Rattus norvegicus: one gene and its partner. The protein of the gene in region 2 binds, or shares a complex with, the protein of the main gene of each other region. Links are inferred from orthologs where the notes say so. Each region holds a gene or a part of one and is shown on either strand. Other genes may lie near its edges.

What was found.
Region 1: the proteins of Ywhab (region 2) and Mlxipl are in contact, whole or in part, in a crystal structure (PDB 6YGJ), measured with the Homo sapiens proteins. The link is inferred for Rattus norvegicus from reciprocal best matches to the Homo sapiens genes YWHAB and MLXIPL. Residues at the interface, in NP_003395.1 of Homo sapiens: Gly55, Arg58, Ser59, Trp61, Arg62, Ser65, Ser66, Gln69, Lys70, Arg129, Val178, Tyr181, Glu182, Asn185, Leu218, Gln221, Leu222, Asp225, Asn226, Leu229, Trp230; in NP_116569.1 of Homo sapiens: Asp118, Ile120, Arg121, Asn124, Ala125, Trp127, Arg128, Ala129, Trp130, Tyr131, Ile132, Tyr134.

The regions. Positions count from the first base shown.
Region 1 is NC_086030.1:27,193,045-27,196,692, forward strand, and holds part of Mlxipl (carbohydrate-responsive element-binding protein), read right to left. Parts: intron 1,476-3,648; coding exon 1,274-1,475; intron 1,187-1,273; coding exon 1,106-1,186; intron 1-1,105. UniProt on the Homo sapiens protein: Binds DNA as a heterodimer with MLX/TCFL4 and activates transcription. Binds to the canonical E box sequence 5'-CACGTG-3'. Plays a role in transcriptional activation of glycolytic target genes. Involved in glucose-responsive gene regulation.
Region 2 is NC_086021.1:173,077,716-173,081,883, reverse strand, and holds the start of Ywhab (14-3-3 protein beta/alpha), read right to left. Parts: upstream 2,814-4,168; 5' UTR 2,660-2,813; intron 1-2,659. UniProt on the Homo sapiens protein: Adapter protein implicated in the regulation of a large spectrum of both general and specialized signaling pathways. Binds to a large number of partners, usually by recognition of a phosphoserine or phosphothreonine motif.

The sequences.
Region 1 (3,648 bases), on a different chromosome or scaffold from region 2:
AGTGACAGACTGTAACCTTTAAGGTGAGATAAACCCTTTCCTTCCTTTGGTCAGAGCATTTGTCACAGAAACAGAAAGGAAAACATCCCGTCTCAAAAGAAATGAAAGGGGAGAGAGAGAGAGAGAGAGAGAGAGAGAGAGAGAGAGAGAGAGAGAGGGAGGGGAGAGAGAGAGAGAGAGAGAGAGAGAGAGAGAAAAGGATTCATACTGACCGGGTCAGGGTATCTGGAAACACCCGGACACATCAGAAACTCAGTAACCCAAGAAAAGAGAAGTCTGAGAAAACCTGCCACTTTGCAAAACACTTAAAAAAACAAAACAAAACAAAACACCACCAACAACAAAAAACCCTTGAAGCTAAACTGGGTGTATTATGCATGCCTTTAATTCTGGCATTTGGGAGACAAAAGGAGGCAAATCTCTGTGAGTTTGAGGCCAGCCTGGTCTACACAGTGAGTTCCAGAACTATATACTGAGACCCCGTCTCAAAAATAGACAAGAGGTTCGACACCTTGAATTCTCTTGTCAGTCACAGTGGCTTACGAAGTGTTTGGGATTGAACCCAAGGATTCTCTCATCCCAGACCAAAAAGGATGTGTGGTAGAGCACCCACCTAGAATCCCCCAGTGAGGAAGGAGCTGGGGGTGTGGCTCAGTGGTAGAGCCCCTGACTAGAATCCCCCAGTGAGGGGCTGGGGGTGTGGCTCAGTGGTAGAGCCCCTGACTAGAATCCCCCAGTGAGGGGTTGGGGGCATGGCTCAGTGGTAGAGACCCTGCCTAGAATCCCCCAGTGAGGGGCTGGGGGCGTGGTTCAGTGGTAGAGCCCCTGACTAGAATCCCCCAGTGAGGGGCTGGGGGTGTGGCTCAGTGGTAGAGCCCCTGCCTAGAATCCCCCAGTGAGGGGCTGGGGGCGTGGCTCAGTGGTAGAGCACCTGCCTTCTAGGCACAAGGCCTTGAATTCCAACTAACCCGCTCCCCCTCCATCTCAAGTTAAAGTACCATTCATTCTCCCACTGGCATAAAGCCTTACAGTCTCCTAGAGTTTTTTCCTAACCTGACCCCTTCTTTTGAGTCTGCCCTACCTGGGGAGGAAGGACCCATCCCACCTGATATCTCCATGAAGTCATCCAGGCTGGGCTGCAGCGGCGTCAGGTCTGGCTGGATCATGTCAGCATTGCCAACATAAGCTGGAGGGACAGTGGTGAGGTTGGAAACTGCAGGCTGGGAAGACATTTCAGTCTTCTCCCCCCTGCTCCCCCCAATTCACTGCTCACCGTCTTCTGAGGGCAGCTGCAGGGACGAGGGGCTGGGCTGTGTCATGGTGAAGAGTGTGTCGGAGATATCGGACAAGAAGCAGTCCAAGTCGAGAAGCTGCCGGCCCCCAGGCTCCTCCTCGGAGCCCCCAAGCAGCACAGGCACCACGCTGGAGAAGAGCTGTTCGCACCATCTCTCTGGTGGCGGCCACCCACCTTCCACCTGGCAGGACAGAGAAGTCACCGCCCTGGTCATCCATGTTACCCCTTGCCTGGAGATGAAGGTTCCCCCACCCCAGCTAGAAAGTCTCTCTAAAGACACCACCTGTCTTTTCCTGGTTCTCTGTCTAGAAGGCCAAGGTGCCAAGGTCATCCTATTGGCCTCTAATGACTCCCTTTATGAAGCAGAGGAAGACCCTCAAAAGTCTTTCTTATTCTCTATGTTATTATAGTCTGGCTTTTCTTTTTTTCTTTCTCTCTCTTTTTTTTTAAAGATTTATTTATTCATTTATTATATATAAGTACACTGTAGCGGTCTTCAGATACACGAGAAGAGGGAATCGGATCTCTTTACAGATGGTTGTGAGCCACCATGTGGTTGCTGGGATTTGAACTCAGGACCTCTGGAAGAGCAGTCGGGTGCCCTTAACCACTGAGCCACCTCTCCAGCCCTCTCTTTTTTTTCAATTTTCTTTTTCTTTCTTTCTTTCTTTTCTTTTCTTTTCTTTTTTTTTTTTTTTTTTTTTTTGTCAGAGCTGAGGACCGAACCCAGGGCCTTGCGCTTGCTAGGCAAGCGCTCTACCACTGAGCTAAATCCCCAACCCGGCTTTCTTTTTTTTTAAAGATTTATTTATTTTATTTATACATGTACACTGTAGCTGTCTTCATACACACCAGAAGAGGGCATCAGATCTCATTACAGATGGTTGTGAGCCACCATGTGGTTGCTGGGAATTGAACTCAGTGCTCTTTTTTTTTTTCCTTTTCTTTTTTTTTCGGAGCTGGGGACCGAACCCAGGGCCTTGCGCTTGCTAGGCAAGCGCTCTACCACTGAGCAAAATCCCCAACCCCCAGTCAGTGCTCTTAACCACTGAGCCATCTCTCCAGCCCGGCTTTTCTTTTTTTTTTTTTTTTTTTTTTTTTTTTTTTTCTTTTTCTTTTTTCTATTTTTCGGAGCTGGGGACCGAACCCAGGGCCTTGCGCTTGCTAGGCAAGCGCTCTACCACTGAGCTAAATCTCCAACCCCAGCCCGGCTTTTCTTTTTCTTTCTTTCTCTCTCTTTTTTTTCTTAAGATTTTATTTATTTATTTTATATGACAAGTACACTGTCTCTGTCTTCAGACACACCAGAAGAGGGCATCGGATCCCATTACAGATGGTTGTGAGTCACCATGTGGTTGCTGGGAATTGAACTCAGGACCTTTGGAAGAGCAGACAGTGCTCTTAACAGCTGAGCCATCACTCCATCGTGCTCGCTCTCTCTCTCTCTCTCTCTCTCTCTTTCTTTGATAAAGAGTTTCACTATATAACACTTGCTGGTCAGGAAATCATTATGTAGACCAGGCTGACCAGGCTGGCTTCAATTCACAAAGACCCAGCTGCCTCTGCCTTCCAAGTTTTAGGACTAAAAACATGCATTGGTGGAGGTGGTGGTGGTGGCAGCAGTGGCAGTAACAGTCAGAGCATGTAAATCTTTAATCCCAGCACTCAGGAGGCAGAGGCAGGTGGATCTCAGAGTTTGAAGTCAGCCTGGTCTACAGAGTGAGTTCCAGGACAGCCAGGGCTACACAAGGTTCATGAAGAAAAACGATTAAAAAGGGGGGGGGGAGGGCTGGAGAGATGGCTCAGTGGTTAAGAGCACTGACTGCTCTTCCAGAGGTCCTAAGTTCAAATCCCAGCAATCACATGGTGGCTCACAACCATTTGTAATGGGATCCAGTGTCTGAAGACAGTGACAGTGTACTTACATACAATAAATAAATAAATCTTAAAAAAAAAAAGAACACCATCAAATCTTCAATTTTTTTTGAGGTAGGGTTTCATGTAGCCCAGGCTGGCCTGGCTTCCAGAGGATACCTGTGATCCTACTACCTCTACCTCCTTTTGTGGTAGCATTGCTGATCTGCACCATCAAGCCAAGTTTTGCTCTTGAAGACAGGATTCCCAAGCTAGCCTCAAACTTCCTGAGCTGCCCTGAAATTTGAAATCCACTACCTGCTTTCTTTTCTTTTTCATTTTTTAAAAAAAGATTTCCTTATTTATTATACATGAGTATGCTGTAGCTGTCTTCAGATACACCAGAAGAGGGCATCAGATCTCATTACAGATGTTTGTGAGCCACCATGTGGTTGCTGGGATTTGAACTCAGGACGTCTGGGAGAGCACTCAGTGCTCTT
Region 2 (4,168 bases):
CACACAAGTGGGGAGTAGTGAGTAGTGTGATCACGGGCTGGTTACCTGCCGATACCTCGGTAGCTAATGATTAAGTCACCCGGGTAGTTTCTATATGTTTCTATGCTATAGGGCATATATACTATTCCTAATCAGAATGTGAACTCGTGTATATGTACAGTCAAAAACAAGGTAAAGGCTGATCAATGGATGTAAGTTACAAATTCCCTTGTGTTATGCACTTCACCCTGACTATACACAACATTGTTCTGTATTTCTCAGTGGGCTAGAAAAAAACTTAATTTTCACCATAAAAAAAGATCAAGTCTGAGATAGGCTATTTAAGCATTATACAACATACACATATATTTAAACATCACAGGAGATACACCCATTCACGTTCAATTTGTTTATTAACTTTATTAGTATTAAGAATTTCTGTATCCTAGAAATTGGGGGCATATCTGTAAGCTCAGCACCCAAGAGGCAGAGGGGCGAAGACTGAGTGGTGAGTCTGAGCCTAGGCTGGGCTACACAACAAAAGAGGTGGGGATGAGGGAAACAGATATCATTTGTACAGTCCAGAGGAGAAATACTGGATGTACTACATGTAACATTATAGATTATTTTTCATAGCAAGTGGAAAAAGTAAGATTGTATCTTATCAGAAAGGGAGAAATAAGAAACTGAAGTCAAGGATTAAAATAAAACAAAACCAAAGGCTTGTACTCAGCACACAGTTTACGGAAGGTCTCGAGACAACAGTGGAGACAGGGGAGCTAAGAAGCAGAGACGAATTAACTCCTGAAGATCACAGCTAGAAAACAATACAGAAAAGAACTGAATCACATTTACCTCATAGTGCTGTTTTTGGATTCACAGCCAAATGGGAAAAATGCACTTTTTGCAGCAGCTCAAATCTCTGGGGACTCTGCCTAGGGAGTGAGCATCAAGGGAATGTGCTCGGCCTGGTTTCCACACAGGCTGCCTCCCTGATCCATACATCTCCAAGTCTAAAATGGCTTCAATATAACCCAAGCACTGCATGATGGGAAATGGAAGATAACAGGGTAGGAGCCACACTCCAGGGGACGACAGTCCATAAATACTTGCCACCGATGAAAGAGGATATTCAATCTGTAAGTAGGTGTGTGGTTTAGGCCGAATCACCTCATTTCTTATAAAGACTTCATCTGTAAGATGAGTGAATGGTTTCTTATAGTTGGAAGGCAGAGGCTAAGAAAATCATTTAGCATTTGGTACAGGATTTCAGCTTTTCTTTTCTAAGCTCATGCTTAAAATTCTAACTTGGGTGGGGAAGGAAAAAAAAAACCGGCGTTCTCCAGCTATTTAATGCTAAGGCATAGATCTTTAAATTAAAAAAAAAAAAAAAAAAAAAAAGAGACTTGGGCAACCCAAAGAAATGGAATGCACTGGAGGGTGGTCAAGAGAAATCCACCAAGAACCCAGTAATATTTGTATAAATTTGCAGAAGCTAGATGTGTGATGCTGAGTAAGCACCTGCTCAGTCCTATAAACTGTAGGTCTGGATGGTCTCACAGGGACACCTGAGATACAGTGAGAAATGTAATTTCCATATTCTCTAAAGTGCTGCACCTTTCTGCATCGGCTCCCGGGATTTTACAGATTTGTAACATCTTGCCAAATTCCACCTCCCACACCAGGCAAGTCAAATCAAGAGTCGAATGCTATCTGGTCTCACCAGAGAAAATGTACTGAACGCAAGGACACGAGCCATGCATTTTTACAGAGGTTAGCAAATTCTCACCAACGCTGCCACCTTTGGAATCCTCGATGCATGCAAGTTCTCCATTTGCAACAGACCCAGATGCACTCATCTTGCAAAAAAAAGGGTCCACATCTCACCTACTCCTTCCTCAGTGAGGTTACTAGACAAATTTCTATGTGTGTGTGTGTGTGTGTGTGTGTGTGTATATATATATATATATATATATATATGGAAAAAAAACAAAAAACGCGTATGGATGAATGAATTTGGGGCGCGGACACATGAGATTCTGGCAGTAAATGACGACAAATATCAAGAGAAAGACTCAATACTCAGCCTGATCTTCCCCCACCCCATTGGGAATTCCGGTTTGAATCAGTAAATGGTTCAGACAAATCCATTTCTTGTTATTTTGTTCTCCCCCCATTTCTTAATTCAAACATCAACCCTGCTGTCAGGGGATCTCGGGTCCAGCTGGGTTTCCCACACCAGCGATGATGAAACAGCTTTACTGCAAAGGGGGAGAGGGATTCACCCCAGCTGTCGCCAAGGTTAAACCCTTACTCATCCAGGGGAGTGCGGCAGGGGCGTCGCGGCTCGGGAACTCGCCCGCCTTCGACTACATTTCAATTTTTGAAAGTCACAAAGAATGAACAAGGTTGACAGGCCCAGAGGGATGGCTCCGGGCCTGAAGGGAGCAGGCAGGGGCGGCGCTGAGCAGAGGAGGTGCCGAGGGGAGTCCGCGGCCCAGTGGTCTCCAGACACGCAGGCCCGGCCGCACCCCGTACGGAGCGCTAAGAGAGAAGCCCCGGCTTCCCGCGGAGACGCAGGCCCGGCCGGAAGCGGGGAGGGGCGGCAGCGAGACTGGCCGCAGCCGCCGCCCGAGAAGGGGCTTCGCGCTGGGGCCCCTGGGAGCCGCGCCGCACTCACCGCGGAGGACTGTAGGGAGCAAAGGCGCTTCCGGGAAGATCGAAGGGCAGCGACTACGTCCTTCCCGGACTCACTCCTCAGGCGATGCTGGCGGCAGCGGCGGTGGCGGCGACAGTAGATGCAGTGGCGGCGGCAGCGGCAGTGGCTACCCGGCTCAGGAATCGGCGGCGGCGGTGGCGGCGGCAGCTGCACTTCCGTTCCGGCCACCACTTCCGCTCTAGCCCAAGTCCCGCCCCACCCTAAGTCGACTCATCATTGGGTGAATGAAGCACGGGGTTGCTCCGTCCTCCTGAAAAGGGCGGTGATAGCCAGGAGGAGGGGAAGTCAAGGAGGACCAAAAGGGAGCGGTCGTGGGAGGGCGCAGAGCCTGGGTGGGAGCGAGGAGGGGGCGGACGTAGGGAAAGGAAGTGGGGCGGGGGAGAGCAGGAAAAGGAGGAAGAAGAGAGGGCGGAGCCGAGGTGGCCGCCCTGGGGCTGGGCTGTGAGAGAACTGGGTAGGCTACCGGAGGGGATAGTTTGGAAGCCTGGAGCGGTCTTGGTCCAGGCTAGGGTAGTCTGTTCCTACCCAACCCTGAAAATAACTCTCACGGGGTCGGAGGGCCCAGCAGTCTTAGTAGCTGTGCGTTAAGGGAATGCTTGTAACTGAAGAGAACAGACATGGCCAGCCCTCCATTTTCAGCTAATTCATCTTTCAGTCCTAAAAGGTACTTACTGTTCCTTTCCTAGACCAACGAAGCTTCGTGAAGTGTCAGGAACAGAACATTCCCAAGGTCTTAAAAAAACAAAAAAAGAAAAAACCAAAAAACCAAACCTGTGTACATCAGTTCTTCGTTGAGATTCTCTGGTTTCCAAGTGTCCTTCAAAGAGAAAGCCTCAAAGACAGAACCCTGGGATCCCCAAACGACTTTCACTGTTACCTAACTTTTATTAATACTTCACTCAAGCCAGTTGACCCTTAAGCATAGCCCTTCAAAATACCTCTACCACCACTCCATTTTCCACAAATTCTGTCTGGCAGCTTTCTGAATGCTAGAGAATACAGCAAGACGTATCTTGAAGCTTACAGTCTCTAGAAAAAAGAACAAAGTAACAGGCCTTTGTCTTTTCTCCTTTACCCTTACTTAGCTTAATGATAGACTTCAAATTCACCACTTGACTCTCAGGCCTTACCCCCATCAAGTACCGAGCGGAGCGGTCTCTTCAATGTCATTCTGTGTCTGTTACTCTGAAATCCGTTGCTAATGGCTCAGACTTAATAGTTCCTGAGACAACTAGAGCTCTGTCCTTACCCATCATCAGCACCCCAATTCGTTTATATAACTCTCTATTCTCCCAACGTACTGTTCCAGAATGTATAAACAGTTTGAGATGGCTGCTATCTTAGGGTTTCTCTTGCTGTGATGCTGGGGAGGAAAGGGTTTATTTGACTTACACTCCCAAATCATTCATTATCAAGGAAGTCAGTTCAAAAACTCAAGCGTCAAGAACCTGGAAGACGGAATGGATGCAG